3 linked regions of the Anolis sagrei genome follow. The protein of the gene in region 1 interacts with the protein of each later gene in a pairwise test. Links are inferred from orthologs where the notes say so. Each region holds a gene or a part of one and is shown on either strand. Other genes may lie near its edges.

Region 1 (10,830 bases):
TTACATTATTATATCATTATATATTATTATCAATTATTATGAATTATTACATAATTATATATAATATATATTTAATTATAATATTATATATTTCATTATTACATCATTATATATTATTATCATATATTATGGATTATTATTATATCATTATATATATTATATATTACATTATTATATAATTATATATTATCATATATTATGGATTGTTACATAATTATATATATATATATATAATATTATATATTTCATTATTTTATCATTATATATTATTATCAATTATTATGAATAATTACATAATTATATTATGTATATATAATTATAATATTATATATTACATTATTATATCATTATATCATTATATATTATATATATAATTAATTATATATATATTATATTATTATATATTATATTATATATATATATATACTTATAATATTAGTATAAATAAATATTACTAATATATTATTATATATTATTTATTTATTTACAGGAAGGAAGGGAAGCTGGAAGGAAACAAGGAAGGAAGAAAGATGCACCAAGGGTTTGAATGGAGGGGCAGAATATCAAGAAGGTGCAATGCTTGATGCATCCTCTGGAGGGCGGCAAAGGATTGCACATAGGAGTCCTGGGCAAATGGTGCCCCTGAGATTTCAATGGAGGGTCAGAATACCCAGAGGGAGCAATGCTCAATGTGACCACCAGGGGGTGGCAAAGGGTGTACTACTACTACTACTACTTCCATCATCTGTGTGCCAAGTTTGGTCCAGATCCGCCAGCAATGGGAGTCACAGGGCTCGCTGGGTGCGGAGTGAACCATAACTCCCATCATCCAGCGTCAATGGAAATGGATGGATGGATAGATAGACTGATGGATGGATGGATGGATGGATGGGTACACTGATTGATAGATGGATGGATAGACTGATAGATTGATAGATGGGTGGATGGGTGGATGGATGGATGGATGGATGGATACATTGTTGGATGGATGGACGGATGGATGGATAGATATATTGATCGATGAATGGATGGATACATAGATGGATGAATAGATGGATAGATGGATAGAAAGATGGATGGATGGATAGACTGATATATTGATAGATGGGTGGATGGATAGATGGATGAGTGGATGGATAGATGGATGGATGTATAGATAGATGGATAGCTAGATGGATAAATGGATGGATGGATGGATAGATAGATAGATAGATGAATAGATGGATAGATTGATGGATAGATAGTTAGATAGATAGATGGATGAATAGATTGATGGATGGATGGATGGATGGATGGATGGATGGATGGATGGGTGGATGGATAGATGGATGGAAAGAACTTCATCGGTGTCGTTGATGGACGATGAAAAGCAGCAGCTCCCCTGGCGGCCAGAAAAAAAAAGAAGTTAAATAGCTTTTGTCTGTTAAATGTTGTTTGTCAAACTGGCATTGAATGTTTGCCATATATGTGTTTACTGTAATCCGTCCTGAGTCCCCTGCGGAGTGAGAAGGGCGGAATATAAGAACTGTAAATAAATAGATAGATAGATAGATAGATAGATAGATGGGTAGACTGCTATATTGATGGATGGATGTATAGATAGATAGATGGAGAGTTAGATGGATAGATAGAGGGATGGATGGATGAATAGATTGATAGATCAATGGATGGATGATAGATGGATAGACTGCTATATTGATAGATGGGTGGATGGATAGATGGATGGGTGGTTGGATGGATGGATGGATAGATAGATGGTTGGATGGATACATGGATAGAGAGAAGGGATGGATAAATAGATGGATAGGTGGATTGATGAATAGATAGATTAACAAATGGGAATATGATCTGGGCGACGACAGCTACGCAGTCCAACCTGGGAGGGATCCTTCCACTCTCCTTCCCTGTCCTGGGTGAAACCTGACGCACCCGCACCTTGTGAAGTATTCATGAGAATGCTTTCGGTGACAGAAGAGCAGAGCTGAACAACCGAATGGCAGAGACCCATTTTGGCACCGGGGCAAGAGCGAAACGCTGGCAGATCCTTTCCCGCAGACAAGGCAGGTAAGCGCCAAGCCTTGGCGACTGTGTTCCATTCACCTTGTCCGGGTGAACTATGTAACCTGGTGCCTCACCAAACTACCAATCCCATTATTCCATAGTATTGAGCCATGGAGGTTCAAGTGGGGTCAAGATGGATTCATTCCACAGGGTGTAGATGTGTTGTAAGGGGGTCTCATGGCGGGAGTTCGAGTTCAAATGAGTAATGTTTTCCGGAACCCGCCATTCCCACGTTTCTGCCCCTACAGATGAGGGGAAGACCCCTTCCTGGGTAAGAAGACCACCCTCAATTAGACCCATGGAGGACCCCACTGCCGAGACCTTTGTGGACGTGGACAAAGGCATCTGCGTCGGCTTCCTCTCCCTGATGTGCTTCTTCCTCCTCATCATGATGGTGCGCTGCGCAAAGCTGATTGTGGATCCGTATACGGCCATCCCGACCTCCACTTGGGAAGAGGAGCAATTCGACTGACATGTAAACTAGACCATTAGGTTACATGCATAAATATCTATCGGCCAATAGCTAATCCTTTCTAGCAGTGTAATAGCCACTTGTGGTTGCATCTGAGCACTGCATACATGCTTATCTATCGGCAAGTAGCAAATCCTTTCTATCTATGTGTTGCTCTCTTGTGGTTGCATCTGAGTACTGCATGCATACATATCTACCAGCCAGTAGCTAATCCTTTCTATCTATATACTGTCGTCTTGTGGTTGCATTTGAGCTCTGCATGCATACGTATCTATCGGCCAGTAGCTAATCCTTTCTATCTATATACCTCCTTCTTGTGGTTGCATCTGAGCATTGCATGTAAACATATCTATTGGCCAGTAGCTAATCCTTTCTAGCTATATACTGCCTTCTTTTGGTTGCATCTGAGTATTGCATGCATGCATGCATAAATATCTATAGGCCAGTAACTAATCCTTTCTATCTCTAGATTGCTGTCTTGTAGTTGCATTTGAACACTGCATTTGAACACTGCACTCATATCTATCGGCCAGTAGCTAATCCTTTCTATCTATATATCTCTTGTGGTGTCTATCGGACAGTAGCTAATCCTTTCTATCTATGTGCTGCTCTCTTGTGGTTGCATCTGATTACTGCATACATACATATCTATCAGCCAGTAGCTAATCCTTTCTATCTATATACTGTCGTCTTGTGGTTGCATTTGAGCTCTGCATGCATACGTATCTATTGGCCAGTAGCTAATCCTTTCTATCTATATACTGTCGTCTTGTGGTTGCATTTGAGCTCTGCATGCATACGTATCTATTGGCCAGTAGCTAATCCTTTCTATCTATATACTGTCGTCTTGTGGTTGCATTTGAGCTCTGCATGCATACGTATCTATTGGCCAGTAGCTAATCCTTTCTATCTATACACCTCCTTCTTGTGGTTGCATCTGAGCATTGCATGTAAACATATCTATCGGCCAGTAGCTAATCCTTTCTAGCTATATACTGCCTTCTTTTGGTTGCATCTGAGTACTGCATGCATAAATATCTATATATCTATGTAAACCGGGCTGAGTCCCTCAACGAGGTTGAGAAGCTCGGTATACAAAACTGTGAAATAATAATAATAAATAATAATAATAGTCCAGTAACTAATCCTTTCTATCTTTTTACTGCCATCTTGTGTTTGCATTTGAGCTCTGCATGCATGCATATCTATCGGCAAGTAGCTAATCCTTTCTATCTATATACGGTTTTCTTGTGGTTGCATCTGAGTATTTATTATATAATATATATATATATGTGTGTGTGTGTATTTTTTGTCGTGTCCAGAGCGACTTGAGGAACTGCAAGTCGCTTCTGGTGTATATTATATTATATATATATATACACATACACATATACATATACACACACACACACATATATATATTATAATACATATATATATAGTATATTATATAGTATATTATATATTCTATATAATATATAATTATATATATTATTATTATATAATATATTATATATATGGTGTATACTATATATTATAGTATATAGCATTATATTGTTTTATTTCATATTATATATATAATACATAGTATATAGTATTAAAGTGTATAATATAGTATATATTATTATAGTATTTATTGACAACTATATATTATTTAAGCCTAGGCACAGGGTTGCATTTTGCTCGGGAAAAAAAATCCATGCTTTCCTTTAATGCTTTGAAAGCAAAGCAAGAAAACAATTCAATTTTTGAGAATCAGTTTAAAAATGGATCTACTGGCCCTTTAAATGCAATGCGCATGCGTACTACGCGGCGTCCGAGTCGGAGAGAGAGAGCGCCTTGTTGCTTCCTTAGCCGAGCTGAATGCATGCCGCTATTTCCGCATGCGCACTAAAATGGATCTACTGGCCCTTTAAATAGAGAAGCCTCGAACAATGCGCATGCGTACTACGAGGCAGCGGAGTCGGAGAGAGAGCGCCCTGTTGCTTCCTTAGCCGAGCTGAATGCATGCCGCTATTTCCGCATGCGCACTAAAATGGATGTACTGGCCCTTTAAAGAGAGGGCTAGAACAATGCGCATGCGTACTACGAGGCAGCGGAGTCGGAGAGAGAGCGCCCTGTTGCTTCCTTAGCCGAGCTGAATGCATGTCGCTGCTTGCGCATGCGCACTAAGCAACTGATGAAAGCGAGAGCTCGAACAATGCGCATGCGTACTACGAGGCAGCCGAGTCGGAGAGAGAGCGCCCTGTTGCTTCCTTAGCCGAGCTGAATGCAAGCCTCTCCTTGCGCATGCGCACTAAGCAACTGATAAAGCGAGAGAGCTCTCGAACAATGCGCATGCGCACTACGAGGCAGCCGAGTCGGAGAGAGAGAGCGCCCTGTTCCTTCCTTAGCCGAGCTGAAGGCATGCCGCTGCTTGCGCACGCGCACTAAGCAACTGATGCTGGGGCGCAGGCGTAGTAACTAAACGGACATTGAGTTCGCTTTTTCCCCCTTCTCCTAGCCGCGCATGCGCATGATGCTTAAAGAGCCCGTCGGGTTGTGTTCCCACCCGGAAGCAGGTTGAATGGGTTTCCGGTCCTTTCCCAAGCCCCCCCTCCCCCCGCTTCATTGGTTCCAGGGAAAATAATTCCGCCTCTTGGTTTTCCCTCAGAGGGGGGAAAAGGTGAGTGGTTTTTTGGGGGGAAAGGGTTTGGATTTGGGGGGTCTTCAGGGGAAAGAAAGGAAGAGGATTGGAAGAGGAGGGAGGCAGTGAGGCCTAATGGCTGGAGCAAGGCCTGGCTTGAGGGAAAGAAAAGGGAAATATTGAATCCCACAACTAGATATCCTATTATAATGCAATACAATATAATACTACTACTAATGATAGGATATTATAACTATATATTTTGTATCACATGTAATATTACTAATAATATTACAATATAATGGTATAATGCAATATAGTAATATGTAATATTGATATTGTACTGTGCTAATGGTGGCGCAGTGGGTTAAAACACTGAGCTGCTGAGCTTGTTGATCGAAAGGTTGCAGGTTCGATTCCGGGGAGTAGCGTGAGCTTCCGCTGTCAGCCCTAGCTTCTGCCAACCTAGCAGTTCGAAAACATGCAAATGTGAGTAGATCAATAGGTACCGCTCCGGCGGGAAGGTAACGGCGCTCCATGCAGTCATGCCAGACACATGACCATGGAGGTGTCTACGGACAACACTGGCTCTTCGGCTTAGAAATGGAGATGACCACCACACCCCAGAGTCAGACATGACTGGACTTAATGTCAGGGGACTACCTTTACCTTTACTGTGCTAATAATATATATATATATATATATATATATATAATATTTGTAATATTATAATGTAATACAATATAATGCTACTAATAATAATAGGATATTATAATTATATATTTTGTATCAAATGTAATATTACTCTATTGTCGAAAGCTGTCATGGCTGGAATCACTGGGTTGTTGTAGGTTTTTTCGGGCTGTATGGCCATGGTCTAGAGGCATTCTCTCCTGACGTTTCGCCTGCATCTATGGCAAGCATCCTCAGAGGTGTTGAGGTCTGTTGGAAAAAGAAAATGAAGGAAGACTGCCTTTTCTCGATGTCCTAGTCATCCGCAAACCAGGTCAACAATTGGGTCACACCGTTTACAGAAAACCCACACACACAGATAGATATCTACATAAAAATTCCAACCATCATCCAAGTCAAAAAAGAAGCACCATTAAAGCCTTGGCAGAGCGTGCAAAAAGAATCTGCGAACCCCACCTCCTCCAAGATGAACAGGTCTCAAGCTTTAAATTTATTTATTTATTTGGTAGTTTTCTATACCGGTCTTCTCACCTCCATTCGAGGGACTCGGGCCGGTTTCCAACACCAATATTACAGACCGTCATTAAAACATCATATTTCTAAATCACACTAAAAACATTAAAACATTGAAACAATTAAAATGGCAAAAATACAATCATATGATTACAGTGGTCAGTCGTCATCAAAGTCATTCGTCGTCATCCATCCATGTCACAGGATCATGGTTCATTCGTTGAATGCCAATCCCCAAAGCCAGGTTTTCACCTTTTTCCTGAACGTTAAGATCAAAAGGGCAGTTCTGATCTCCAGTGGAAGGGAGTTCCAGAGTCGAGGGGCCACCACCGAGAAGATCCTGTCCCTCGTCCCCACCAGACGTGCTTGCGAGGCCGGTGGGACCGAGAACAGGGCCTCTCCAGACGATCTTAATAATCTTGATAGGGGAGAATACGTTCGGAGAGGTAAATAGGGCCAGAGTTGATTAGGGCTTTGAATTGTGCTCAGAAGCTAATTGGCAGCCAGTGGAGCTGGTGTAACAGCGGAATGGTATGCTCCCTGTACCCAGCACCCGTTAGTAGTCTGGCTGCCGAGCGTTGGACTAATTGCAGCTTCCGGGCAGTCTTCAGTAATATATTAGCTATAGGGCCATGTTCTAGAGGCATTTCTCCTGACGTTTCGCCTGCATCTATGGCAAGCATCCTTAGAAGTAGTGAGGTCTGTTGGAAATAGGAAAATGGGTTTATATATTTGTGGAATGGCTGGGGTGGGGCAAAGAGCTCTTCTCTGCTGGAGCTAGGTGTGAATGTTTCAGCTGACCACCTTCATTATCATTTGAAGGCCTAGCTGAGCCTGGGAAAATGTTCTGTTGAGAGGTGTTAAGATGTGCCTGGTTGTTTCCTCTCTGCTGTTTTGCTGTTGTAATTTTAGAGTTTTTTAATACTGGTAGCCAGATTCTGTAATATATTTATTTATTTATTTATTTGCTTTATTTCTATACCGCGTTTCTCAACCTATAATAGGTGACTCAATGCGGTTTACACAATATTAATTACCACAACAATAACAATTAAAACACAGCATACCCAATAACAAACACACAACCATTCATACAGTGCCTCGATCGCAACCAAGATCCAGTCTCATATCCTTATACCGTTCCTATGTTCAGTTTACCGTCATTCTGTGTACAATTGCGCTGATTAGCCAAACGCTTGCTCAAAAAGCCAGGTTTTGAGCTTCTTCCTAAATGCCAGCAACGAAGGGGCCTGTCTGATGTCGCTTGGTAGGGCATTCCATAACCGAGGGGCCACCACCGAGAAGGCCCTGTCTCTCGTTCCCGCCAACCGTGCCTGTGACGCAGGCGGAACCGAGAGCAGGGCCTCCCCGGACGATCTTAATGTCCGTGTCGGTTCATAGGAGGAGATGCGTTCGGAGAGGTAGGTGGGGCCGGAACCGTTTAGGGCTTTGTAGGCTAATGCCAGCACCTTGAATTGTGCCCGGTAGGGAATTGGCAGCCAGTGGAGCTGGCTCAACAGAGGAGTGGTATGCTCCCTGAGAGCTGCTCCTGTTAGCAACCTGGCTGCCGAGCGCTGGACCATCTGGAGCTTCCGGGCAGTCTTCAAGGGCAGCCCCACGTAGAGCGCGTTGCAGTAATCTATGCGGGATGTGACCAGAGCGTGGACTACCGTGGCCAAGTCCGACTTCCCGAGGTACGGGCGCAGCTGGCGCACGAGCCGAAGCTGTGCAAATGCTCCCCTGGCCACCGCTGAGACCTGAGGCTCCAGGCTCAGCGATGAATCCAGGGTCACACCCAAGCTGCGAACCTGCGTCTTCAGGGGGAGTGTAACCCCGTCCAACACAGGCTGTAACCCTATGCCCCGTTCGGCCTTTCGACTGACCAGGAGTGCCTCTGTCTTGTCTGGATTCAACTTCAATTTGTTCACCCTCATCCAGTCCGACACAGCAGCCAAGCACCGGTTCAGGACCTGAACAGCCTCCTTAGAAGTAGGTGGAAAGGAGTGACAGAGTTGGACATCATCTGCGTACAGATAACACCGCACCCCGAAACTCCGGATGATCTCTCCCAACGGCTTCATGTAGATGTTAAACAACATGGGGGACAGTATTGAACCCTGCGGGACCCCACAAGACAAAGGTTGTGAGGACGAGCAGCTGTCCCCCATCAACACCTTCTGGGTACGACCCTCTAGGAAGGACCCGAGCCACTGTAAAACAGTGCCACCAAGGCCCATTCCCGCGAGGCGTCCCAGAAGGATACCGTGGTCGACGGTATCGAAGGCCGCTGAGAGATCCAGCAGGACCAACAGGGACACACTCCCCCTGTCGAGCTCTCTGCGGAGATCATCCACTAAGGCGACCAGGGCTGTCTCGGTACCATGTCCCGGCCTAAAGCCAGACTGTGCCGGATCCAGATAATCAGTGTCTACCAAGAATACCTGGAGTTGTGAGGCCACCACACGTTCCAGGACTTTGCTCAAAAAGGGAAGATTGGAAACAGGCCGATAGTTGACGAATTGAGTGGGGTCTAGTGATGGTTTTTTCAACAGCGGTTTTATTACAGCTTGTTTTAAGCTGGCTGGAATATTGCCTTCCCGAAGGGAGGCATTAACCACCACCTCCACCCACTCGGCCAATCCCCCTCTGGCCTCCTTTAGAAGCCAGGATGGGCAGGGGTCTAGGATGCATGTGGTAGCTCTCATTCCTCCAAGTATCTTGTCCACATCCTCGGGACATCCCACATCCCACAAGTATCCCTCCACATCCTATAATATACTATATTATATTATTAGTATTATATTGTATAACATTATAATATTATAATTGGGGCTTCTGAACCTAATTTGGTGTCCAAATTTGGTGTCAATTCATCCAGTGGTTTTTGAGTTATTTTAATCCCACAAACTAACATTACATTTTTATTTATATAGATTTATTTATGACACTTATATTATTATATTACCGTAGCACAATATTAGTATTATATAGCTATTATACTGCAATATTATTAGTAATATTACATGCAATATAAAATATATAACTATATTATATTATATTATTATATTATATTATGATGACATGATAAATGGGAAAAAATTATATTATTAGTATTATATTGTATAACATTATAATATTATAATTGGGGCTTCGGAACCTAATTTGGTGTACAAATTTGGTGTCAATTCATCCAGTGGTTTTTGAGTTATGTTAATCCCACAAATGAACATTACATATATGTGTGTGTGTGTGTATTCATTCATTCTTGGCTGGAATTGCACTTACAAAATTTTCCTCTTCCAACGTACCTGCAAATTCAGCTTAAGAACAGACCTACAGAGCCCATCTTGTCTGTAACTGCCAGTATTCGGTTGTCTCCTTCTGGACGCTTTCAGCTTTGGCCGCCATGGCGGAGTCTGAGGACATGATGGAGCTGCAGCGGGTGGTGATGGACGAGCTGGGCATCTCTCTGGATGACCTGAAGCAGATGATCGACGAGGAGGTGGAGAAGTCGGAGGAGGTCCAGCGGCGGAAGCGGGAGCTGCAGAGCCTGGAAGAAGTGGTGAAGAAGAAGGAGGCCGAGGTGGCCTACGTGGACGAGCTCCTCGACAACGCCGTCAAGTAAGTCATCAGGGAGGCTCCAGCAGGAGTGAACACCTCTCCTTTACCGATTTGAGTACCTTTATTGATTCTGGGTTGCGGTGAGCTTTCCTGCCTGTATGGCTATGTTTCAGAAGCATTCTCTCCTGACGTTTCACCTGCATCTGTGGCAGGCATCCTCAGAGGTTGTGAGGTCTGTTGGAAACTAGGCAAGTGGGGTTGATATATCTGTGGAATGATGTCCTTGAGGCAAGTGTGAATGTTGCAATTGGCCAACTTGATTAGCATTGAATGGCAGCAGAAAGAGAGAGGGACGAAGAGAGGGAGGAAAGAGGGAAGGAAGGAAAGACGAAAGGAAGAGAAGTGTGGAAGGAAGGAAAGAGAAGACAAAAGGGAAGACAAAAGGGAAGATGGGGAAGGAGGAATGAAAGAGAGAAGGAAGGAACGACGAAAGGGAGGAAGAGAAGTGTGGAAGGAAGGGAGGGGAGGAAGGAAGGAGAAAGGGAGATAGGGAAGGAGGGATGAAAGAGGGAAGGAAGAAAAGATGAAAGGGAGGAAGAGAAGTGTGGAAGGAAGGGAAGGGAGGAAAGACAAAAGGGAAGATAGGGATAGAGGGATGAAAGAGGGAAGGAGGGAAAGACGAAAAGGGAGGAAGAGAAGTGTGGAAGGGAAGGAAAGAGAAGACAGTAGGGAAGGAGGGATGAAAGAGGGAAGGAAGGAAAGATGAAAGGGAGGAAGAGAAGTGTGGAAGGAAGGGAAGGTAGGAAGGAAAGAGAAGACAAAAGGGAAGAAAGGAGATAGGGAAGGAGGGATGAAAGAGGGAAGGAAGGAAAGACGAAAGGGAGGAAGAGAAGTGTGGAAGGAA
Region 2 (10,830 bases), on another chromosome or scaffold:
TTTGAAGAAAAGTTGGACTCGGTGAAATGCTGAAAATGAGTTAAATCTTTTTTTGAGTTGGGCCACAAAAGTTTTCATATGATCCACTAGTGTGCACAATCTTCTGGATGGTAGCCCTGTATTTAAGTCATTCAAATGCAACAAGATGTTGGTCACAAAGGCAAAGTCTGCCATCCACTTCAGATAGTTGAATTTCGAAACTGGCTTCCTCTTGCTTTGCATGAAATGCTGTATTTTGGTCCTTAAGTCAAATACTCTTTTATGAATCTTCCCTCTGCTCAACCAACAAACATCACTATAATAAACCACATCTCTGTTGGGTCAGCCATTCTTGGAATTAATGATGATTCAATCTTCTTGCCCAAATAAAGTTGACAACAATCACAGTAACTTACATGACATTCTCAAATCCAATAGTCTCCTGGTGGGTGCTCAGCATAGCAGAGGCATCATCAGTTACCACCCTGAAAGTTGGCTAAGTTGAGATTGAAACCGTCCAAAGCGGTTTCTGGACGGTTTCAAGAATATCAGTACTTTTGTCATTCTTTTCAGAGGTGCGAACGCTAGCAGTTCTTCTGCCACATAAAACTGTTGGTCAGCACCACGGATATCTTTTGCATTTGTGGTCTCATCTAGTGAAAGTGTATGTGACAACTGTTTTTTACAGTTCCTTCAATGTCAGTAGCAAGTTCTTCAACACATCGTGCAACAGTTACCCCAGACAAACTCAGCTTTTTAAACATTTCTTTAATATTTGAGCACAGATTTCCCCAGAAATGATGAGACAGTCTTCCACAAATTCACCTTCCACAAATGCTTTTGATTTTTTTATCTTTTGTTTTTGTTTTTTGCTATTACATAATTTACCTTGATGCATGCTTCCATTTCTTCCCTTGGTCTTTGTAACAAACCCTGATGACATTTGATATCACTTTGCAGATGGTTCACTTTGTTCACTCAAAGCTTCCCTTGAAAGTGATCAAAATTAGATGCATGCTCTGTATTTCATGTATTCTTTTGATACTGACACTGACTCACGGCAAATTAAACACACTAACTTAGTATTCATTGGCACAAAAAAGTACAAAGTGATCCACTTTTCATTAAAAACCCTAAGCACGAATCACTTGAATTACGCATTTTACTCATAGACACCATAGTGATGGAAGATGAATCTTCCATCATTTACAGTTATTATTCACTGACTATGTCTAACACTAATAAAAAAAAAACCTCTAACAATATAAAACAATAACAGTATTTCAGCAGACAGGATGAAAAAGCTTGTACCTATAGGCAGGTTTACAACTGACTGGCTGACTGTAGGTAGGATCCTGTCATTTATATGAAAATAACTAACTTTGGAGAACCTTCAAAATGTATCTGAAAGGCACTGGACTGCATACTCCAGAACTGGTTGGCATACCTCCATCCCAGATTAGGTCCCTTGATGGCAAGCACCTATGTCTTGTTTGGATTCAATTTCACCTTCAATTGAAGGTTGGTATTTTGTACCTTTCAAGCCTAAGCAAGCACTACTAACTTCATCTGTCAATCTGCATAGGTCCTCGCCTCTCCCAGCCTCCTCCTCACTTATCTCAGTAATGTTCAATTAGAAATCCACGACACCCCAACCCCAAAACAGTGAATTAGATTATGGTTGCTGTGGTTATGTGGTTGCTGGTAATGGTGATCACAGGGCCCCCAGAGATGCGTCTGCACGGCTTTCTGCTGTTCCTTGCTCTGCTGGCCAAAAGTGAGGTCAAAGATCCTCCAATGGCCTAACCAGAAATCCCAGAACTTTTAGACACTCTGTGCTGGAGTTCTGTTGTTTTGATCTACAGACCTCTGGCACAGTGTCTACACTACACTACAAGAAGTATTTCATCCTTGGCAAGGATGCAACATCCTCCTTGGCATGCGGCCCCATACTTCTCTGTATGCGACGACATGTCATAGAAAATGGCTATACGTGTCAGTGCTAACACATGTGTCATAGGTTCGCCATCATGGGACTAGGCAATTCCCTGGATAGCTGGACCTTGTTGGGACCTTTAAAAAGTGTCCTCAAGCACTTTATGATTGTTATACTCAAAACCTTAATGGTAAATTGTTCTTATCCTCATAGTTGCTATATAATATTTGCACTTTATGCATTAGTTCTATTCTTTAAAGTTGTGGCACCAGTCCACCCACACTTGTGGGCCTATCTAGGTCCTCCAGTGTGATTATATGGTATGTGTCACTCCAAGTATAGTCAAAATATAGGGTTCGCTATTATCCACACTTTCAGGTATCTGCGAGTGAGTCTTGGAACATGTATCCCATGGATATAAGGGTTGTACTACACAGAGTGAATATTATCTCACATCATTTCAATGACTAGGAGCCTCCAGTGGCTCCTTAACAATGAGTTAAACCCTTGTGCCGGCAGGACTGCGGACTGAAAGGTTTGTAGTTCATTATCCGGGAAGCAGGGTGAGCTCCCATCTGTAAGTTCCAGCTTCTCATGCGGGGACATGAGAGAAGCCTCCCACAGGATGGTTAAACATCTGGAGGACTCCTGGGCAACGTCCTTGTAGACGGCCAATTCTCTCACACAAGAAATGACTTGGAACTTCTCAAGTCACTCGTGACATGAAAAAAAATTCAATGACTGAGTGGCTAGATACCAAGGTACCATTCACATCAACAGGCATCACTTTAGGTCTCTGTCATGCTGGCAGGCACCTGCATAAGTAAACCGGGTCCATTTTTAAAAAAAACATTCAGTTTGAGGCAATACAAACATTACATCTCTGATGAGTCAATCACACTTGGCAGATCACTTCATGCAATAGTTTCCAAGAGACAATTATGCAAGCACAAATCCATCACTCTTCACCTTCTCCATGATAAATCTTCTATGTGCATGGCCGTTTGGTATTGAATTCAGCACTGACAATAACAGATAGTACGTATTCATCCAGAAAATACTTCCCTAAATCAATGTGCTTCAACCTTCTAGTATCCTAGGCACTTTCCCAAATGTAAACTGAGGCAAACATCACTAACACATTACCAGCTAGATTAGGACATAACAGACCAACAATTCAAGGGACAGTTAATTTTGCATTTCTATTGCAGGAGCAATTGAGAGCTGAAAACATCTGGCACTCCATATCCACAGATACTAATGTTCCTTCAAAACCTTTTCCCCCCAAAAGCAAATCTTGATCTTGCCATTTTATATAAGGGACACCATGTTGCTACACCATTGTATATAATGGGACTTGAGTATCCACAGATGTTGATGCCCACAAAATGTCTGGAATCAAACCCAGCAGATACCAAGGGCCTACTGAACTACAATGATACACAAAAAAATCAGATTCCCCAACATAAGACATAAAAGGTACTGGAAGGGGCCAAGGCCAGAGCAACAATTAAAAGTGTATTTATACTATATTATTACGGCAGTTTGCTACTGCTTTAACTCATCATGACTCAATTGTATGTAATCATAGGAGTTATAGTTTTACAAGACTGTTAGCTATGTGTAGCACTCTGCCAAAGAGTGCTGGTGCGTCATTGTTGTTTATTCGTTCAGTCACTTCCGACTCTTCATGACCTCATAGACCAGTCCACGCCAGAGCTCCCTGTCAGCCATCACCACCCCCAGCTCCTTCAGAGTCAAGCCAGTCACTTCAAGGATCCCATCCATCCATCTTGCCCTTGGTCAGCTCCTCTTCCTTTTACCTTCCATTTTCCCCAGCATAACTGTCTTCTCCAAGCTTTCCTATCTTCTCATGATGTGGCCAAAGTACTGGTGCCTCACCAAACTACAAATCTTATTACGTAATGTGGTGTCATTACATCTACAGTGTAGAGCCAGCTTAGGACAAAGACAGACCAAACAACTCCCATGGTTGAGGAAAAGGCTGACTAAGAGTGCATCTCAGACTGCATAATTAATGCAGCTTAGCCACTTTAACTGCCATGGCTCAGGAATCAGCCAATCTGTACTTTGGCAAGGCAACAGCACTCTTTGGCTAGGAAGGCACAACACCTTGTCAAATGACAACTCCCAGGATTCCTCAAAATTGAGCCACGACAATGAAAATGATGGTCAAACTGCATTAACTGTACAGCACCCTTGGTCTCATTTCTAAGGGCCAAAACCCATCTGGCCTGTACAGTGTCCCAGGATCAGAACTGGGAATTGCTGGCTAAAGAGAATGTCACCCAAAGAGGTGACTGAAACACTCAGATAATGGTCTTATTATTATTATTATTATTATTATTATTATTATTATTATGTTTAATGTATCATTGAAGGCTTTCATGGCTGGAATCGCTGGGTGCTATGGTTTCCAGGCAGTATGGCCCTGTTCTAGCAGCATTTTCTCCTGACATTTCACCTGCATCTGTGGCTGTTATCCTTTGAAGATGCCTGCCACAGATGCAGGTGAAACGTCAGGAGAAAGCGAACATGAGAATACAGGCCGAAAACCACACAACACCCCATTATTACAATTATTATTGTTGTTGTTGACACAAAAGCACAGTATGTCACAGCAAATTAGATCTATATGCTGGATTTCATATCACAAAATCACAAGTCGAACACTTCCCAAGTGTCTAGGACTGTGTGATGTACTTTCGAATGATGTGTGCAGATCCAAGTAAGGTGGCCTTTTGCAGTTGACAGATCGTGATTTTGTCAATGTTTATTGTTTCCAAATGCCGGCTGAGATCTTTTGGCACAGCACCCAGTGTGCCAATGACCACTGGGACTACCTGTACTGGTTTATGCCAGAGGCTTTGCAGTTCGATTTTGAGGTCTTGATAGCGGCTGAGTTTTTCCTGTTGTTTTTCCTCAATGTGACTGTCACTTGGTATGGCGACATCAATAATCTTTTTTCTTTTCCACAATCATGATGTCTGGCGTGTTGTGTTCCAAAACTTTGTCCGTCTGGATTCGAAAGTCCCACAGTATTTTTGCATGTTCATTTTCCATGACCTTTGCGGGTTTATGATTCCACCAATTCTTTGCTGCTGGCAGGTGGTTCTTGTGACATAAGTTCCAGTGAATTATTATTATTGCCCCGCTTTTTCTCTACACAAGGAGACTCAGGCCCCTCTACACAGCCATATAAAATCCAGATTATCTGCTTTGAACTAGATTAGGTAGCAGCATAGACTGATAGAATCCAGTTCAAAACAGATTATGTGGATTATCTGCTTTGATAATCTGAATTATATGGCAGTGTAGAAGGGGCCTCAAAGTGGCAGATCAACCCAGTTTGCAGCTGTCATGCCCCCTTCACCAGTAATGAACCATCAAGCTGAGCCCTGATTGAGAAGGAGTGAAATCCCAACCATAGATCCCTTTCCACAATATCACAGAATTTCCATATTATTATTTGAAAATACAACAAGATGAGTCCACAGCAGACACTCTGCTGGCTGTTGTATTGGATCAGATGCCGGACACTTCCCAAGTGTCTAGGACTGTGTGATGCATCGGCGAATAATGTGTGCAGATCCCAGTAAGGTGGCCTTCTGCAGCTGGCAGATGTTAATTTTGTCAGTGCCGATTGTGTCTAAGTGCAGGCCAAGGTCTTTAGGCACTGCACCCAGTGTGCCGATCACCACTGGGACCACCTTGACTGGCTTGTGCCAGAGTCTTTGCAGTTTGATCTTTAAATACTCATATTGTGTCAGCTTTTCCCTGTTGTTTCTCTGCAATCCTGCTGTCACCTGGGACTGTGACATCGACGATCCATACTTTGTTTTTTAACATGATTGTGAAGTCAGGAGTATTATGCTCCAAAATTATTATTATTATTATTATTATTATTACATTCTATTTGAGTCCCCTTCGGGCAGACCCGTAGCCAGGATTTTGTTTCGGGGGGAGCTGAGTTTGATTGGGGGGGGGGGCTGAGTCTGAGTGAGAGAGGGTCTACCTTAGCAAACCTTTTGTATCGTTATCCCAATACCCCCATGCATATGGGATATATTGAGCATGGTGATCAGGTCATGATATGAATAAACATAACAGTTTAAATGATGTACCAGTAAGGCCACCATGAGACTTTCGGGGGGGGGGGGGGCTACATGCCTGCCTTCGGGTTTAACATAAAAACGTTAGCACAGCATTCTAAATATACAAATATTTAAACAGAATTAAATATAAACAGTACTAAAAGGTTCAGTTAAAACTATCCAGTAAAGACTTTCTGTATATATTTCAGATTTCAATATTAATGTCAAATATATGTAGTATGATTTTACATGTTACATTTGGCTCTCTGTTTCACACTCTATTCCTCTGACTTATATTATATTATGTAATATTAATATTCATGAACAAAAAGATTATGTTGCAATATGGTAGCAGCAGAAAGAATCATAGAATCAAAGAGTTGGAAGAGACCTCATGAGCCATCCAGGCCAAGAAGCAGAACTATTGCATTCAAATCACCCCTGACAGATAGCCATCCAGCCTCTGTTTAAAAGCTTCCAAAGAAGGAGCCTCCACCAGAAAGGAAGACCAAATGTTATGGAGAGAACAACTTGCAAGGAAACATTCCTAGTGCCACTGGTCTGACTACGAAATCGTAGAGTGGGAAGAGACCCCAAGGGCCATTCAGTCCAACCCTCTTCTGCCAAGTAGGAAACATACAATCAAAGCAGCCCTGGCAGATGGTCATCCAGCCTCAAGAGAAGAAGGCTCCACCATATGCAGCATGTGCTAAACAGAGATGTTGAGGTGGGTCTCTTTGAATCCCTGGCGCCCTGGTCTCCAGAGGAGCAGAAAACAAGCTGGCCCCCTCCTCAGTGTGGCACCCTTTCAGGAAAAGACCCATCTGTCCCTCCCTCCTCGAGGGCGCCATAGTGGCTGCTTGCCTCACTCAGGATGCCGCCTGACTCACCAGCCTCTCCGTCTCTTGCTTCCTTCCTTCCTTCCGCACTGCGCCTTCTCCTCCTCCTCCTCTTCCAGGAAACCGGGCTCCGGAAGGGCCCTGCCAACCCCCTCCGCCTGCTCCTGCAGCAGGGACTTCGCCAAGGCACCAGGGAGGAACACCCCCTCGACGCAAACAACAACACCCTTCCCGGAAGCGGAAGTGACGAAGATGACGGTAAGACCCAAGGCCCCTGACGTCAGCATGCTCCCCAGCACGTGGCCGGGGGAGGCGCGCGGAGGACAGGCGGGAAGTGCTTCTTCTAGAATCATAGAATAGAATCAAAGAGTTGGAAGAGACCTCATGGGCCATTCAGGCCAAGAAGCAGGAATATTGCATTCAAATCACCCCGATAGATGGCCATCCAGCCTCTGTTTAAAAGCTTCCAAAGAAGGAGCCTCCACCACACTCCGGGCAGAGAGTTCCACTGCTGAACGGCTCTCACAGTCAGGAAGTTCTTCCTAATGTTCAGATGGAATCTCCTCTCTTATCGTTTGAAGCCATTGTTCCATTGCATCCTAGTCTCCAGGGCAGCAGAAAACAAGCTTGCTCCCTCCTCCCTGTGGCTTCCTCTCACATATTTATACATGGCTATCATATCTCCTCTCAGCCTTCTCTTCTTCAGGCTAAACATGCCCCGCTCCTTAAGCCACTCCTCATAGGGCTTGTTCTCCAGACCCTTGATCATTTTAGTCGCCCTCCTCTGGACACATTCCAGCTTGTCAATCTCTCTCTTCAATTGTGGTGCCCAGAATTGGGCACAATATTCCAGTTGTGGTCTAACCAAAGCGGAATAGAGGGGTAGCATGACTTCCCTAGATCTAGACACTATGCTCCTATTGATGCAGGCCAAAATCCCATTGGCTTTTTTTGCCGCCACATCACATTGTTGGCTCATGTTTAACTTGTAGTCCACGAGGACTCCAAGATCTTTTTCACACGTACTGCTCTCGAGCCAGGCATCCCCCATTCTGTATCTTTGCATTTCGTTTTTCCTGCCAAAGTGGAGTATCTTGCATTTGTCACTGTTGAACTTCATTTTGTTAGTTTTGGCCCATCTCTCTAATCTGTCAAGATCATTTTGAATAGATTGCAGCATGAATGCACCGCCAGGGTTCAAGGCTGTGGAGTCCTGAGATCTGTCATCGGATAGGTTCTGTATCCGCCTCTGCCCCACCAAAGTGCAGCAAGAACATTCAAGAATGGATTGCTGTGAGTGTTCAGAGCTGTATGGCCATGTTCCAGAAGCATTCTCTCCTGACGCTTTGCCCACATCTATGGCAGGCATCCTCAGAGGTTGTGAGGTCTGTTGGTAACGAAGCAAGTGATGTCCAGGGTGGGAGAGAGAACTCTTGAGGCAAGTGTGAATGTTGCAATGGGCCACCTTGATTAGCATTTAATGTCCTTGCAGCTTTAAAGCCTGGCTAGTTGCTGCCTGGGGGAATTTTTTGTTGGGAGGTGTTAGCTGACCCTGATTGACTCTTACCTGGAATTCACCTGCTTTTTGGGTATTGCTCTTTATTTGTTGTTCATTCGTTCAGTCGCTTCCAACTCTTCGTGACCTCATGGATCAGCCCACACCAGAGCTCCCTGTCAGCCGTCACCACCCCCAGCTTCTTACTTAACTCAAATTATATTTTCTAGCTTGTGTTGATGTAAATTTTGCAATAACTTCAGTAAAATCAACTTGCTTAGCTAAATCATCTTCGATGCACAAAATTTCTAAAAGAGTACATTGCTCTTGACTAGTTGTGCCTATTTGCCTTGTTTGCAAGTCTGCTGAATGACCTTTCTGTTGCAATTAAAGCCATATATTGGCAAATATGTTGTTGTTGTTCATTCGTTCAGTTGTTTCTAACTCTTCGTGACCTCATGGACCAGCCCACACCAGAGCTCCCTGTCGGCCGTCACCACCCCCAGCTCCTTCAAGGTCAAGCCAGTCACTTCTAGGATGCCATCCATCCATCTTGCCCTTGGTCGGCCCCTCTTCCTTTTTCCTTCCATTTTCCCCAGCATCATTGTCTTCTCCAAGCTTTCCTGTCTTCTCATTATGTACTTCATCTTTTCCTCCAATATCCTTCCCTCCAATGAGCAGTCAGACTTTATTTCCTGGAGTATGGTTGGATCTTCTGGTGGTCCAAGGCACTCTCAGAACTTTCCTCCAGCACCACAGTTCAAAAGCATCTATCTTCCTTTGCTCAGCCTTCCCTATGGTCGAGCTCTCACATCCGTAATTTACTACAGGGAATACCATTACTTTTATTTACTGTCCTGATTTTAGAGGGTTTTTTAAATACTGGCGGCCAGATTTTATTTTCATGGTTTCTTCCTTTCTGTTGAGATTGTCCACATGCTTCTTGTGAATCTCAGTGCCTTTTCTGTGTAGTCTGACATGGTGGCTGTGAGAGTGGTCCAGCATTCTGTGTTCTCCAATAATATGCTGTGTCCAGGTTGGTTCATCAGGTGCTCTGCTACGGCTGATTTCTCAGGTCAAGACAACACAAATTCAACAATTCAGCAAAAGACAAGAGGGGTCCTCTAACCACTGCAGGAGTCTACGATACACCATGCAATTGTGGACAAGTCTACATAGGGACCACCAAACACAGCAATGCCCAGACACAAATCAGAGCATGAAAAGCACTGCAGACTTAGGCCCCTTCTACGCAGCTGAATAAAATCCCACATTTTTTGCTTTGAACTGGGATCTATCACAGTGTGGACTCAGATAACCCAATTCAAAGCAGACATTGTGGGATTTTCTGCCTTGATATTCTGGGTTATATGGCTGCATGGAAGGGCCCTTAGGCCCCTTCCACACAGCTGAATAAAATCCCACATTTTCTGCTTTGGATTGGGATATATGGCAGTGTGGACTCAGGGTCCTTCTGATACTGAGCACCAACCACCACACACATCCCCGACCCCGGCTGATCAAATATGCAAATAATCATCAGAGGAGTGGAGAAGGGCAGCAACAACTGACAAGCACCCTAGATACACTGTCTTCCCCCTCTATTACAAAGTAGCCTCTTTAATAAACATACACTTCAATGTGTTCCCCTTATAACTGATTCTTTGTATCCTTTTGGCCTCCTGTGTCTTTTGCCTCTTGCAGCTGGCCCCAGTAACTGTGCATAGCCTTCCGCATAGTTGAATAAAATCTCACATTTTCTGCTTTGAACTGGATTATATGGCAGTGTGGACTCAGATAACCCAGTCCAAGGCAGACATTCTAGGATTTTCTGCCTTGATATTCTGGGTTATATGGATGTGTGGAAGGGCCCTGAGTTAGGAGTAAAGATAAAGAATAGCAGCTATTTAAACAGTAATCCAATGTCATTTGATGCTGGCCCATAATATAAAACGCACATACAGAGAGAGAATGAGACAGAAGGTTGAGAGATATTTTTATTAGCCTCTTTTCTGCCTCCTGGCAACAGCACACAATGGGATGAGAGATTTGTAACCCATCTGGTTCCTTTGCCCTGATTTAACAGCATATTTAACCCCTCAGTTCCATGACTCTTAGCTGACAGCAGCTACATGGAAAGGCAACAGTGCTTAATGTTTACACGCGTCTTTCCTTCAATGCAGCATCAAAAATCTAATCAAAATTCTGCTTCAGGAAGCAGGGATTGTCCTAAGCCAGTATGAGCCGAAACATTCCTTTCACCTTGGCAAGTTGGCAGAAGAAGCCACTGACTTCCCTAACTGCCAGTCTTCCAGCCCTTAAACCATGGGAATATTTTAGAAAAAAAGGGACCACAGCTAACAGCCACTGGCAAGGGTTTTATGGTCAAAGACAGCTTAGATTCTACAGGAGCAAAGAAGAGGAGCTCAGAGGCAAAAGCTACACCAGACTGTTTTAATGAAAAAA
Region 3 (10,830 bases), on another chromosome or scaffold:
GCCAAAAAAGTTAAAATTTGTAAACCAGCAACACTTCCAAAGTGCAAATAAACTGGGGAAATGGTTTGCAAGAAGAATATGGCAGAAAAAACAAAAACAACATATTACTAAAATTGTGAATGATGACAAAGTATATACAATAGACCAGAATATTATAAATCAGTTCAATAAATATTATAAAAACTATATCCCAAAGAATAAAGAAAGTAGATATAATACAATATTTAGGAAAACAAAACCTGACAAAAATTATGGAAGAACAAAGAGAAATAATCAACAAAGAAATAACGGAGGAAGAAATATAAAAGGCAATAAAGAAATTAGATAATAATAAAGCACCTGGCCCAGATAGAATTATGGCCATTTACTAAAAAAAGTATTACACGGTGAGGTAGCATAACTTCCTTTTTTAAAATGCACGCCATTCAGTCGGTTAAAGAGGTAGGCGGAGCGCTAGTGGTCTCGTTTGAGAGGCGGGAATATAAAGTTTTGTCCTGACACAGTTCAGTCGCCATTATGCATTGGAACAGCGAGGAGCGTGCTTTTGCCGGTGAGGCCTATTTCGAGCGGATTTGGAGTGGCCGGCCCGCTCTCCAGATTTGGCCCCTTGTGATTATTTTCTATGGGGTTTTTTGAAATCCCGTGTTTATGTGAACCGTCCAAGGACCCTACAAGATTTGAAGACCAACACCCAGGAAGAAATTGCCAACATAACTCCTGCTATGCTGGCAAGAGTCATGACTAACGCCAGAAATCGGTTTACTCAGTGTTTGGAGAATGGGGGACGTCACCTACCTAATTTGATCTTCAAAACAACGTAAAACAAAACTTTAGGGATGCGCCTACATTAGAAAAAAAAATTCGGATTCATACAATGGGTTTTATTAAGTTTTGAAAAAGGAAGTTATGCTGCTGCATCCTGTATAAAAGGCAATAAAGAAATTAGATAATAATAAAGCATCTGGCCCAGATGGAATTATGGCCATTTACTAAAAAAGCATTAGAAGAAATGCCATATATATGGTTGAATAGTGTGCAGGCATGTAGCCAGGGGGGGGGGCTCGGGGGGCTTCAGCCCCCCCCGAAATTTTCATGGTTTTCGCGAAAAGGCCTTATTGGTGCATTATTTAAACTGTTATGTTTATTCATATCATGATCTGATCACCATACTCAATATATCCCATATGCATGGGGGTATTGGGGTAATGATACAAAAGGTTTGCTAGGCTAGACCCTCTTTCACTCAGACTCAGCCCCCCCCAAAACTCACCCCCCCCGAACCCCCCCCCCCCCGAAATTTTTTTTAGCCCCCCCCCGAAACAAAATCCTGGCTACAGGCCTGATGGTGTGAATGGTTGAATGGCTGAATGGTTTTCGTAGTAATGACGATGTTTTTGTATAATTGCTGGATTGTGAATTGTTTTTATACTGTGTCTTGAATTTTGTTGCTCCTATGTTGTACACCGCTGTGAGTCGCCTCCGGGCTGAGAACAGCGGTATATAAGCAAAGTAAATAAATAAAATTATATATATAACAACCAATAATGCCCTAAGCCTACAGAATTGTAGATTTTGGTATGACCTGTGGATAAGTCAAGAGCTATTGCGTGGAGAGGGGAAAATGCATTCAAAAAGGTCCTAAGTGACACTGCAATGTAGAAAATATATTGAGTCAGTGCTTCCTTTGGGTTCTCCCATGTCGGACTAAGTCTTTTTCTTTTGTCACTCTACTCAAAGAAAGAGAGGGTTCCTTCCTTGATGAGAAATAAGGTACAGTACTCACACCGACCCACAGATAAGTCAACCCAAGTTTTTTGGGTTGATTTCTTGACTAAATTTTCTAGACATACGTATATAGGATATGTATCTTTAATGCGAAAAGAAACACAGGCAAAAAAAACCAGGACGGCAACTGCAACCCTCCCCAAGTTCACAAGACACAGAAGTGAGGATAAACAAGTGTACACATACTGACACAAAGAACTTCTACAGGCACACAGTCTGCATATGTGCAACTAATGCTCAGTAACATTTGGGTGAGCATATGTAAACCTGGTCCTCTGCCACAATCCCACTCTTCTCCCCACTCGAGGTTGAGCATGCACACTTATGTTGCCTGGAAAGGGACGCTGTGTCATGATCACAATCAAAAGGAATGGGAGTGTGTGTGCTTCTCCACACCCCTTCAATATTTGGGGACAAGTCATGACAAGGACTAGCAAGCACAGGAAATGAGGGGGATAAAGAATCTTGGGTACAAGAGTGTCACCCTGAATCATTTGTACCCAACTTTGACAAAAGATGTCAATAACTTCAGAGTAATTCTTCTCAGCGCCAATAAACCAAACTGGCCAGGATCCTTTCCATACTAGAAAATTACAGCACTACAATTCTACTAACTGGCATGGGATTTACAGATTAGGAAGGTGCTAGAGATCCAAGGCTGAGGATTGTAAAGGCCAATTCCAGGATTCGATAAGAGATTACCATGGCAGTTAAAGTGGAATCATTGTTGAGTAACCATCACACAGTCCAACAATAATAATAAAAACCCTCTGTGGTCTTGGTTTTTAAGCCTGTTCCTGGGGTTATTTAGAGAGCCCATTCAGAAAATTGCACTGGACAGACTACAACAGTTCCAGTTTCAAGAAATGGTCATTGTTATTTTCTATGGGTGAGCAGATGGCAACTAATAGACATAGATTCCATCTCAAAAACTATGGGGAAAATTGGTGCCATTTTTGGAATCAGCAGGTCAAATATACCCAGAAACAAGTCTAACGTCTGGGGCACCCAAATGTCTGTTAGCCAGTGTTACCCAAAATGCTTGGGACACTAAGTTTGGGATTTCTTTCAGATTTTGGAATATCTATTTTAGCATATACAGCCAGACTTGTCACATTTGCTAGAGTTAGGGGCACAGGAGCCCATATGAAAGCGAATAATAAAGAAATTACTATTCCTTACATGACAGAATACTTCTTTAGGAAAGTAATATATACCATATTATATTATTAAAGTTGTGGGAAGAGGGATTAATCTGATTAAGATCAATAAGGGCCCTTTCATATAATCCAGAATAGCAAGGCGGAAAATCCCATATCAGCTTTGAACTGGGTTCTGTGAGTCCACACTGTCATATATTCCAGTTCAAAGCTGAAAATGTGGAATTTTATTCAGCTGTGTGGAAGGGGCCTAAGACTATGTAACAAAATTTGAAAAAAAAATGTTCCTGGTTTGAAAATGTTATTTCCTGTATAATTCTGTGCAACTTACTTTGAAAGTAGTTGTTCTACTCCACAAACTTCGTTTTTGTTGAATTAGTTGACACTGAGATATTCATTGAAAAACTATTGCAAAATGTGCTGGAGAATGTCCCGCAAAACTAAAGTTTTTGCAGTTTAATAAACGTTTTCATGATAGAACCAATTAGAAAATGACATTTATAACCCAGGAACAAAAATTGTGTTACATAGCATAATAGGAGAAAAAGTCTACTTAGGGGAACATTACTACTTCTGGGGTCTCCTGGTGGTGCAGCGGGTTAAACCGTTGAGCTGCTGAACTTGCTGACCAAAAGGTAGGTGGTTCGAATCCAGGGAGCAGGGTGAGCTCCTGCTGTCTGCTCCAGCTTCTGCCAACCTAGCAGTTTAAAACATGAAAATGTGAGTAGATCAATAGGTACTGCTTCTGAGGGAAGGTAACGGCACTCCTTGCGGTCATGCTGGCCACATGACCTTGGAGGCGTCTAACGACACCGCCAGCTCTTTGGCTTAGAAATGAAGATGAACACTACCTCCCAGCGTCGGACATGACTAGACTTTACCTTTACTTTGCTAAGGCAAAGGTTTCCCCCCACATTAAGTTCAGTTGTGTCCAACTCTGGAGGTTGGTGCTCATCTCCATTTCTAACCCAAAGAGCCGGCATTACCTTGCTACTTCTCCTAATATGACAGCAAAAATGAGAATCTACTTAATAAAGACCTTATAGAATTATATCCTAAGATACCAAAGTATTGGGAAAAGGTGTTTACCTGGATAAGCTAAATAACAGGAGAAAAAGTCAACTTTTAGGGGGCATTATTAACGTAAGCTGCTTTCAGTCTCCTTTGGGGAGATCAGGTAAAGATTTCCCCTTGACATTAAGTCTGACTCTGGGGGGTGGTGCTCATCTCCATTTCTAAGCCATAGAGCCAGCGTTGTCTGTAGACACCTCCAAGGCCATATGGCTGGCATGACTGCATGGAGCACTGTTACCTTCCTGCAGAAGCAGTACCTATTGATCTACTCACATTTGCATGTTTTTGAATTGCTAGATTGGCAGAAGCTGGGGCTACCAGCAGGAGCTCACTTCCCGGATTAGAACCGCCAACCTTTCAATCAGCAAGTTCAGTTCAGCGCTTTAACCCATTGCTCCAGCGGGGGCTCCTTTGGGAGAGATAAATCGAGGTATAAATAAACATTATAATTATTATTATTATTATTATTATTATTATTATTATTATTAGAAACAGAACAATATGAGTTCACAGCAGACAAGATCACTCTGCTGGTTGTTGCACTGGATCACACGTCGGACACTTCCCAAGTGTCTAGGACTGTGTGATGTATCGGCGAATGATGTGTGCAGATCCCAGTAAAGTGGCCTTTTGCAGCTGGCAGATGGTAATTTTGTCAGCGCCGATTGTGTTTAAGTGCAGGCCAAGGTCTTTAGGCACTGCACTCAGTGTGCCAATCACCACTGGGACCACCTTGACTGGTTTGTGCCAGAGTCTTTGCAGTTCGATCTTTGAATCCTCATTTTGTGTCAGCTTTTCCAGTTGTTTCTCGTTAATTCTGCTGTCACCTGGGATTGCAACATTGACAATCCACACTTTGTTTTTTAACACGATCGTAAAGTCGGGAGTGTTGTGCTCCAGAACTCTGTCTGTCTGCATTATTATTATTATTATTATTATTATTATTATTAGAAACACAAGATGAGTCCACAGCAAACACTCTGCTGGCTGCTGTATTGGATCACACGTTGGACACTTCCCAAGTGTCTAGGGCTGTGTAATGTATCAGCGAATAATGCCTGCAGATCCCAGTAAGGTGGCCTTCTGCAGCTGGCAGATGGTAATCTTGTCAGCGATGATTGTGTTTAAGTGCAGGCCAAGGTCTTTAGGCACTGCACCCAGTGTGCCAATCACCACTGAGACCACCTTTACTGGTTTGTGCCAGAGTCTTTGCAGTTCGGTCTTTAAATCCTCATATCATGTCAGCTTTTCCAGTTGTTTCTCTTCAATCCTGATGTCACCTGGGATTGCAACATTGACAATCCACACTTTGTTTTTTAACACGATCGTGAAGTCAGGAGTGTTGTGCTCCAGAACTCTGTCTGAATTATTATTATTATTATTATTATTAGAAACACAACAAGATGAGTCCATAGCAAACACTCTGCTGGCTGTTGTATTGGATCACAAGTCGGACACTTCCCAAGTGTCTAGGACTGTGTGATGTATCGGCGAATAATGCGTGCAGATCCCAGTAAGGTGGCCTTCTGCAGCTGGCAGATGGTAATGTTGTCAGCGCCGATTGTGTTTAAGTGCAAGCCAAGGTCTTTAGGCACTGCACCCAGTGTGCCCATCACCACTGAGACCACCTTTACTGGTTTGTGCCAGAGTCTTTGCAGTTCAATGTTTAAATCCTCCTATCGTGTTTTCCAGTTGTTTCTCTGCAATCCTGCTATTATTATTTTTATTACTACTACTATTATTATTGCTGATCTACATATTTGAAGACCAAAACGAGGATCCAACGGAGACCTTTATAATATTTCATCCACTTTATAAGGCCATTACTGTTTACCTTCCTATTTGAAGACAAAAATGGGGACCGAGGCTCCAGCGACACCGCTATGTAATGCAGTTTGAAACTGTCACATAGCGTGAAGACTCATCTAATGAACTTTAACTGCATGAGATGAGTCAACACTGACCATATGATGCATACTGCATTAGAAGGCAATAGACATGGGGCCCTACTGAATAATGCCCTTATAGTATTTGGTCCACTTTAGAAAGGCATGACTGCTTATCTGAATATCCTGCCAACATTTTTAGCCTGCTGCACAAGAACAGCTCAAGGGGCCCATTCACACAACCACATAACCCAGAATATCAAAGCAGAAAATCCCACAATATCTGCTTTGAACTGGGTTATCTGAGTCCACACTGCCATGTATTCCAGTTCAAAGCAGATACTGTGGGATTTGCTGCTTTGATATCCTGGGTTATATGGTTGTGTGGATGGACCCTCTCCTGTGGCCGCTTTGAACTGGGTTATCTGAGTCCACACTGCCATGTATTCCAGTTCAAAGCTGATAATGTGGGGTTTTATTCAGATGTGGAAGGGGCCAGAGAGGAACCCCCAGAATTAACAGATCCACAACATGAGATGTTTGCTGAACAAGGGCTCCTTCTGATGCTCTAATCTAGGAGGGAGGGGAGGATGATGGGAATTGTAGTCAGTCCCACGCTCTTACAGCGGTTGGAAAACGCCATATTAAGGCATGATGCCTGTGCGGACCAGAATCCCGTTCGCCTGCTGCAAATGCAGGAACTTTGGAAGTCCTGAAAAGTTACATTTCAAACAACGAGTTATCCCCACTATCGTTGCATCTACACTGGATAATTAATGCGTTTTGGCACCACCGTATGGGATCTTGAGATCTGTAGTTTTCTAAGACTATGTGAAGCGACAACACCCAGGACTCCATAGCCGTTAAAGTGGGGTGAAACTGCATTAACTCTTCAGTGTAGATGAATCCCCCAAACAAAGTTAAGTTTCCAAACTTGGAACATTTAGGAAAAAGAAGGCAATGTTTTGCAAGAAGAGACCACTTTACAATCCCACTCCCACAAAAAAGTCTCCAATAGAGTAAATATATATATTTAAAGTATCTAAATATCCCCCCCCCCCCCCACGGCCAGGCCAAGGCCTCTTGCAGGAATTGCATTGCTTCTACCCCTCAACTCGGCCCCTTGGACCAAGCCCAGCAACAAATGCTTAAATGCTTGCTTGCTTTCTTCCTTCTGCTCTGAACAACAGAGGGATCCCAGGCTTTGCTTTCCAGGGAGCGCGCGCCCCGGGCCCCTCACTTACTCACCCCAAACGCTGAACACGATGCAAAGCAGCAGCAGCAACAGCAGCAGTGAAAGGGTTTCCGCAGCTCCCTCGCGGCGGGGCTCGAGCCCGGGGAAAAGGGGGGCGGGGCTGGAAGACCCGGCAAAAACCAGCGATGCGCGGTGGCCAGAGCGGCCCCAATAGCGGAAGCGGGTCGCCATAGTGACGGGCCTCTACTCGGCGCTTCCCGGCTTCTTCGCCTCTCTTGTATAGGACAAAGGGTGGAGCGACAGCCAGGCCTGGGCAAGCTTCGGCCTTCCAGGCATTTTGGACTTCAACTCCCACAATTCCTAACAGCCGGTAGGCTGTTAGGAATTGTGGGAGTTGAAGTCCAAAACGCCTGGAAGGCTAAAGCTTGTCCAGGCCCGTCACTGTAGTATTATACTAGTTTGGCCTACTTTAGCCTTTCTCCTTCTTTGCCTAAGAGAACTACACAAACTAGGACCCTCAGGATCCCATAGCATTGAGTTAAAAGGGTTCCAAACTGCATTAAGTTTGGATTAAGGCGTCATGAATTGATAATAATTGTTGATTTTGTTGTTGTGTATGATGTGTTTTTAACTGTTTATTGTTGTGATAACCTGCATTGTGTAAACCGCATTGAGTCGCCTATTTAGGCTGAAAAACGCAGTATAGAAATAAAGCAAATAAATAATAATAATTAATTAATTAATTCTGCAGTGTAGATGCACCCATAAGGGGGCTTTCAATTAATCTTAGTCATGACGAGCTGTCCCTTGCCATGAGTTGCTATGGCCCAGTCAATGTATACTTTTACTTACTTAGGCGATCCCTCATAGTCCGAGGATGATGGTCCTCCAAGAGTAGTATCCTGAGGGTGGGTCCGTAGGTGGCTGTGGAACCCTATTCTTGATCTGCATCTTCTCCCGCAGTGAGGGCATCGGTTTCCAGGTGCAAAGCGGTCCCAGTTGGGATTGGCTTTATGCGCCTTCCTCTTGGCACTTTAGTCTGTGTATATGTGTCTTGTGTATATATATTTGTTTATATACAGCTTGGGAGTGATCCTGGATCCATCGTTGAGCCTGAAACCCCAGGTTTCGGCGATGTCCAGGGGAGCTTTTGCATAGTTAAAGCTTGCGTGCCATCTGCACCCGTACCTTGGGAAGTCTGATCTGGCCACGGTCGGTCATCCACACTCTTGTTACATCCTGAATAGATTACTGCAACACACTCTACGGTGGGGCTGCCTTTGAATACTGTTCGGAAACTTAAACTAGTCCAACAGGCTGCAGCCAGATTACTAACTGGAGCGACATACAGGGACATACACAACCCCCTTGTGTCAGCTCCACTGGCTGCCAATCCACTTCCGAACTCAATTCAAAGTGCTGGTTTTGACCTATAAAGCTCTATACGGTTCTGGCCCAGCTTACTTGTCTGAACGCATCTCTCTCTACGTCCCCTCTTGCAGTTTAAGATCATCCGGGGAGACCCTGCTCTCACTCCCGCCAGCGTCGCAAATACATCTGGCGGAGACGAGAGACAGAGCCTTTCAGCTGTAGCCCCCCTGCCTATGGAATTTGCTTCCCAATGAGGTGAGATCGGCTTCATCCCTCCTGTCTTTTAGGAAGAAATTGAAGTCGTGGTTCTGGAACCAGGCTTTTTGGACAGCAGACATAAATAGCACTCTGGATATGGAATTTGACTGGAATGGTGATATGGTGGTTAATACTGTTTTTATTGTTTCAATTAATGTGCTATTTATTGTTTTAATTGTTGCTATATTGCTTTGTTATATTTAATGGCATCAAATTGTACCAAATGTAAGCCGTCCTGAGGCCCTCTTTGGGATTTGAGAAGGAATGGGATAGAAATACTGGAAATAAATAAATATGTGTGTTTGTGTACATATATATGTGGTTTTGCACATGCGTTGTCATGTATTTTTTATTTTTTGGCTTTTAAAGTCCCTTCTGCTGTGTTTTTCAGTGATGGTCACTTGTTGGCCTGATTGGTGTATTATGTCCAAATTTGGTGTCAATTCGTCCAGTGGCTTTTGAGTTACGTTAATCCCACAAACGAACATTACATTTTTATTTATATAGATTGTTCCTATATGGTGTGTGTTAGGTCCCTTCCACACAGCTGAATAAAATCCCACATTTTCTGCTTTGAACTGGAATATATGGCTGTGTGAACTTACATAACCCAGTTCAAAGCCAATATTGAGGCATTTTCTGCCTTGATATTCTGGGTTATATGCCTGAGTGGAAGGGCTCTTAGTGAAGACTGGAGGCTGTGTGTATAATAAAAATAATAATAATAATAATAATAATAATAATAAACTATTTATATTCTGCCACCCTCTCCCCAAAGGGGACTCGGGCCAGCTTACATGAGGCCAAGCCCGATAATACAGTTACAATAACATGAATACAAAACAACAAAAATAACAATACAATAAAATAAGGCAATAACATAAGTGAACATAAGAACAAAACAGCAGTGCAGGATACAGTAACAAACATACACAATGGACGAGCCAAATGTACACATAAATGAATGAATGACAATGAAAAAGATGTATTTGTAAGGGAGGAGTGCATGGAGGGCGGAACAGTGGAGTTAGGCCTTAAAAATGGTGAGGGGAAGGGCAGTATGAGGACAACTTGAGGGAGAAGACAACAGGAAAGGAATATGTGGTCATTCTCCAAAGGCACACCGGAAGAGCCAAGGTTTTAGCTTCTTAAAGCTGAATGTTGGAAATGGCAGCCTTCTACAAGATTCCTATACTAGTTATTTGTTATGTATATAATTGTGATTACTTACGATATTGTATATAATGGTATGCAGTTTTCCCCTTAACTATGTTGCTAGAGGTTGTGGGCGGGACTACAGACCATGTGACCCAGATCTTAAAATGAGTGAGACTCCATTTCAAAATGTGTTTAAATCTGTTGGGAGTCAGTTAGAAGTCAGTTAAATAAGTTTGAGTTAGAAGTCGGTTTGAGCCAGTTTGAATTAGAAATCAGTTGAATTGGTAGATAACAGAGCAGCCAAAAGCCTGTGGTGTTTGGTTTTCCCAATACTTGCAGTGTAAACTTCAGAAACCTGCAGTTGTTGGTCTTAAAATTACACAGTGTAATCCAGGAACATAAATCATAAAGGCCCCTTCCACACAGCCATATAACCCAGAATATCTCTGGGTTATATGGCTGTGGTGCAGCGGGTTAACCACTAAGCTGCAGAACTTGCTGACTGAAAGGTCGGTGGTTTAAATCCTGGGATGGGGTGAGTTCCTGTTGTTAGCCCCACCTTCTGCCAACTTAGTTCAAAAACATGCAAATGTGAGTAGATCAATAGGTGGGAAAGTAACAACAATCCATGTAGTCATGCTGGCCACATGACCTTGGAGGCGTCTACGGACAATGCCGGCTCTTCAGCTTAAAAATGGAGATGAGCACCACCCCCAGAGTCAGACGCAACTAGACTTAATGTCAAGGGGAAACCTTTACCTATCAAGGCAGATAATCCACATTGTCTGCTTTGAACTGGATTATCTGAGTCCACACTGCTATACAATCCAGTTCAATGTGGATTTTATTCAGATGTGTGGAAGGGGCCATAGTGTTATTTGAAACACCAGGACATTTACTCTTCCAAGAATGTGAATTCTAGGTAGGTCCCGTCTACACTGCC

What was found.
Region 2: the proteins of SETDB1 (region 1) and methyl-CpG-binding domain protein 1 interact in binary tests that used the Homo sapiens proteins (3 or more experiments, as listed by UniProt). The link is inferred for Anolis sagrei from reciprocal best matches to the Homo sapiens genes SETDB1 and MBD1.
Region 3: the proteins of SETDB1 (region 1) and CDK4 interact in a two-hybrid assay, tested with the Homo sapiens proteins (2 studies listed by BioGRID and IntAct). The link is inferred for Anolis sagrei from reciprocal best matches to the Homo sapiens genes SETDB1 and CDK4.

The regions. Positions count from the first base shown.
Region 1 is NC_090032.1:5,040,439-5,051,268, forward strand, and holds the start of SETDB1 (histone-lysine N-methyltransferase SETDB1), read left to right. Parts: upstream 1-4,661; 5' UTR 4,662-5,198; intron 5,199-9,760; 5' UTR 9,761-9,771; coding exon 9,772-9,986; intron 9,987-10,830. UniProt on the Homo sapiens protein: Histone methyltransferase that specifically trimethylates 'Lys-9' of histone H3. H3 'Lys-9' trimethylation represents a specific tag for epigenetic transcriptional repression by recruiting HP1 (CBX1, CBX3 and/or CBX5) proteins to methylated histones.
Region 2 is NC_090022.1:193,769,547-193,780,376, reverse strand, and holds the start of methyl-CpG-binding domain protein 1, read right to left. Parts: upstream 7,006-10,830; 5' UTR 6,921-7,005; intron 1-6,920. UniProt on the Homo sapiens protein: Transcriptional repressor that binds CpG islands in promoters where the DNA is methylated at position 5 of cytosine within CpG dinucleotides. Binding is abolished by the presence of 7-mG that is produced by DNA damage by methylmethanesulfonate (MMS).
Region 3 is NC_090022.1:191,404,924-191,415,753, forward strand, and holds the start of CDK4 (cyclin-dependent kinase 4), read right to left. Parts: upstream 7,271-10,830; 5' UTR 7,154-7,270; intron 1-7,153.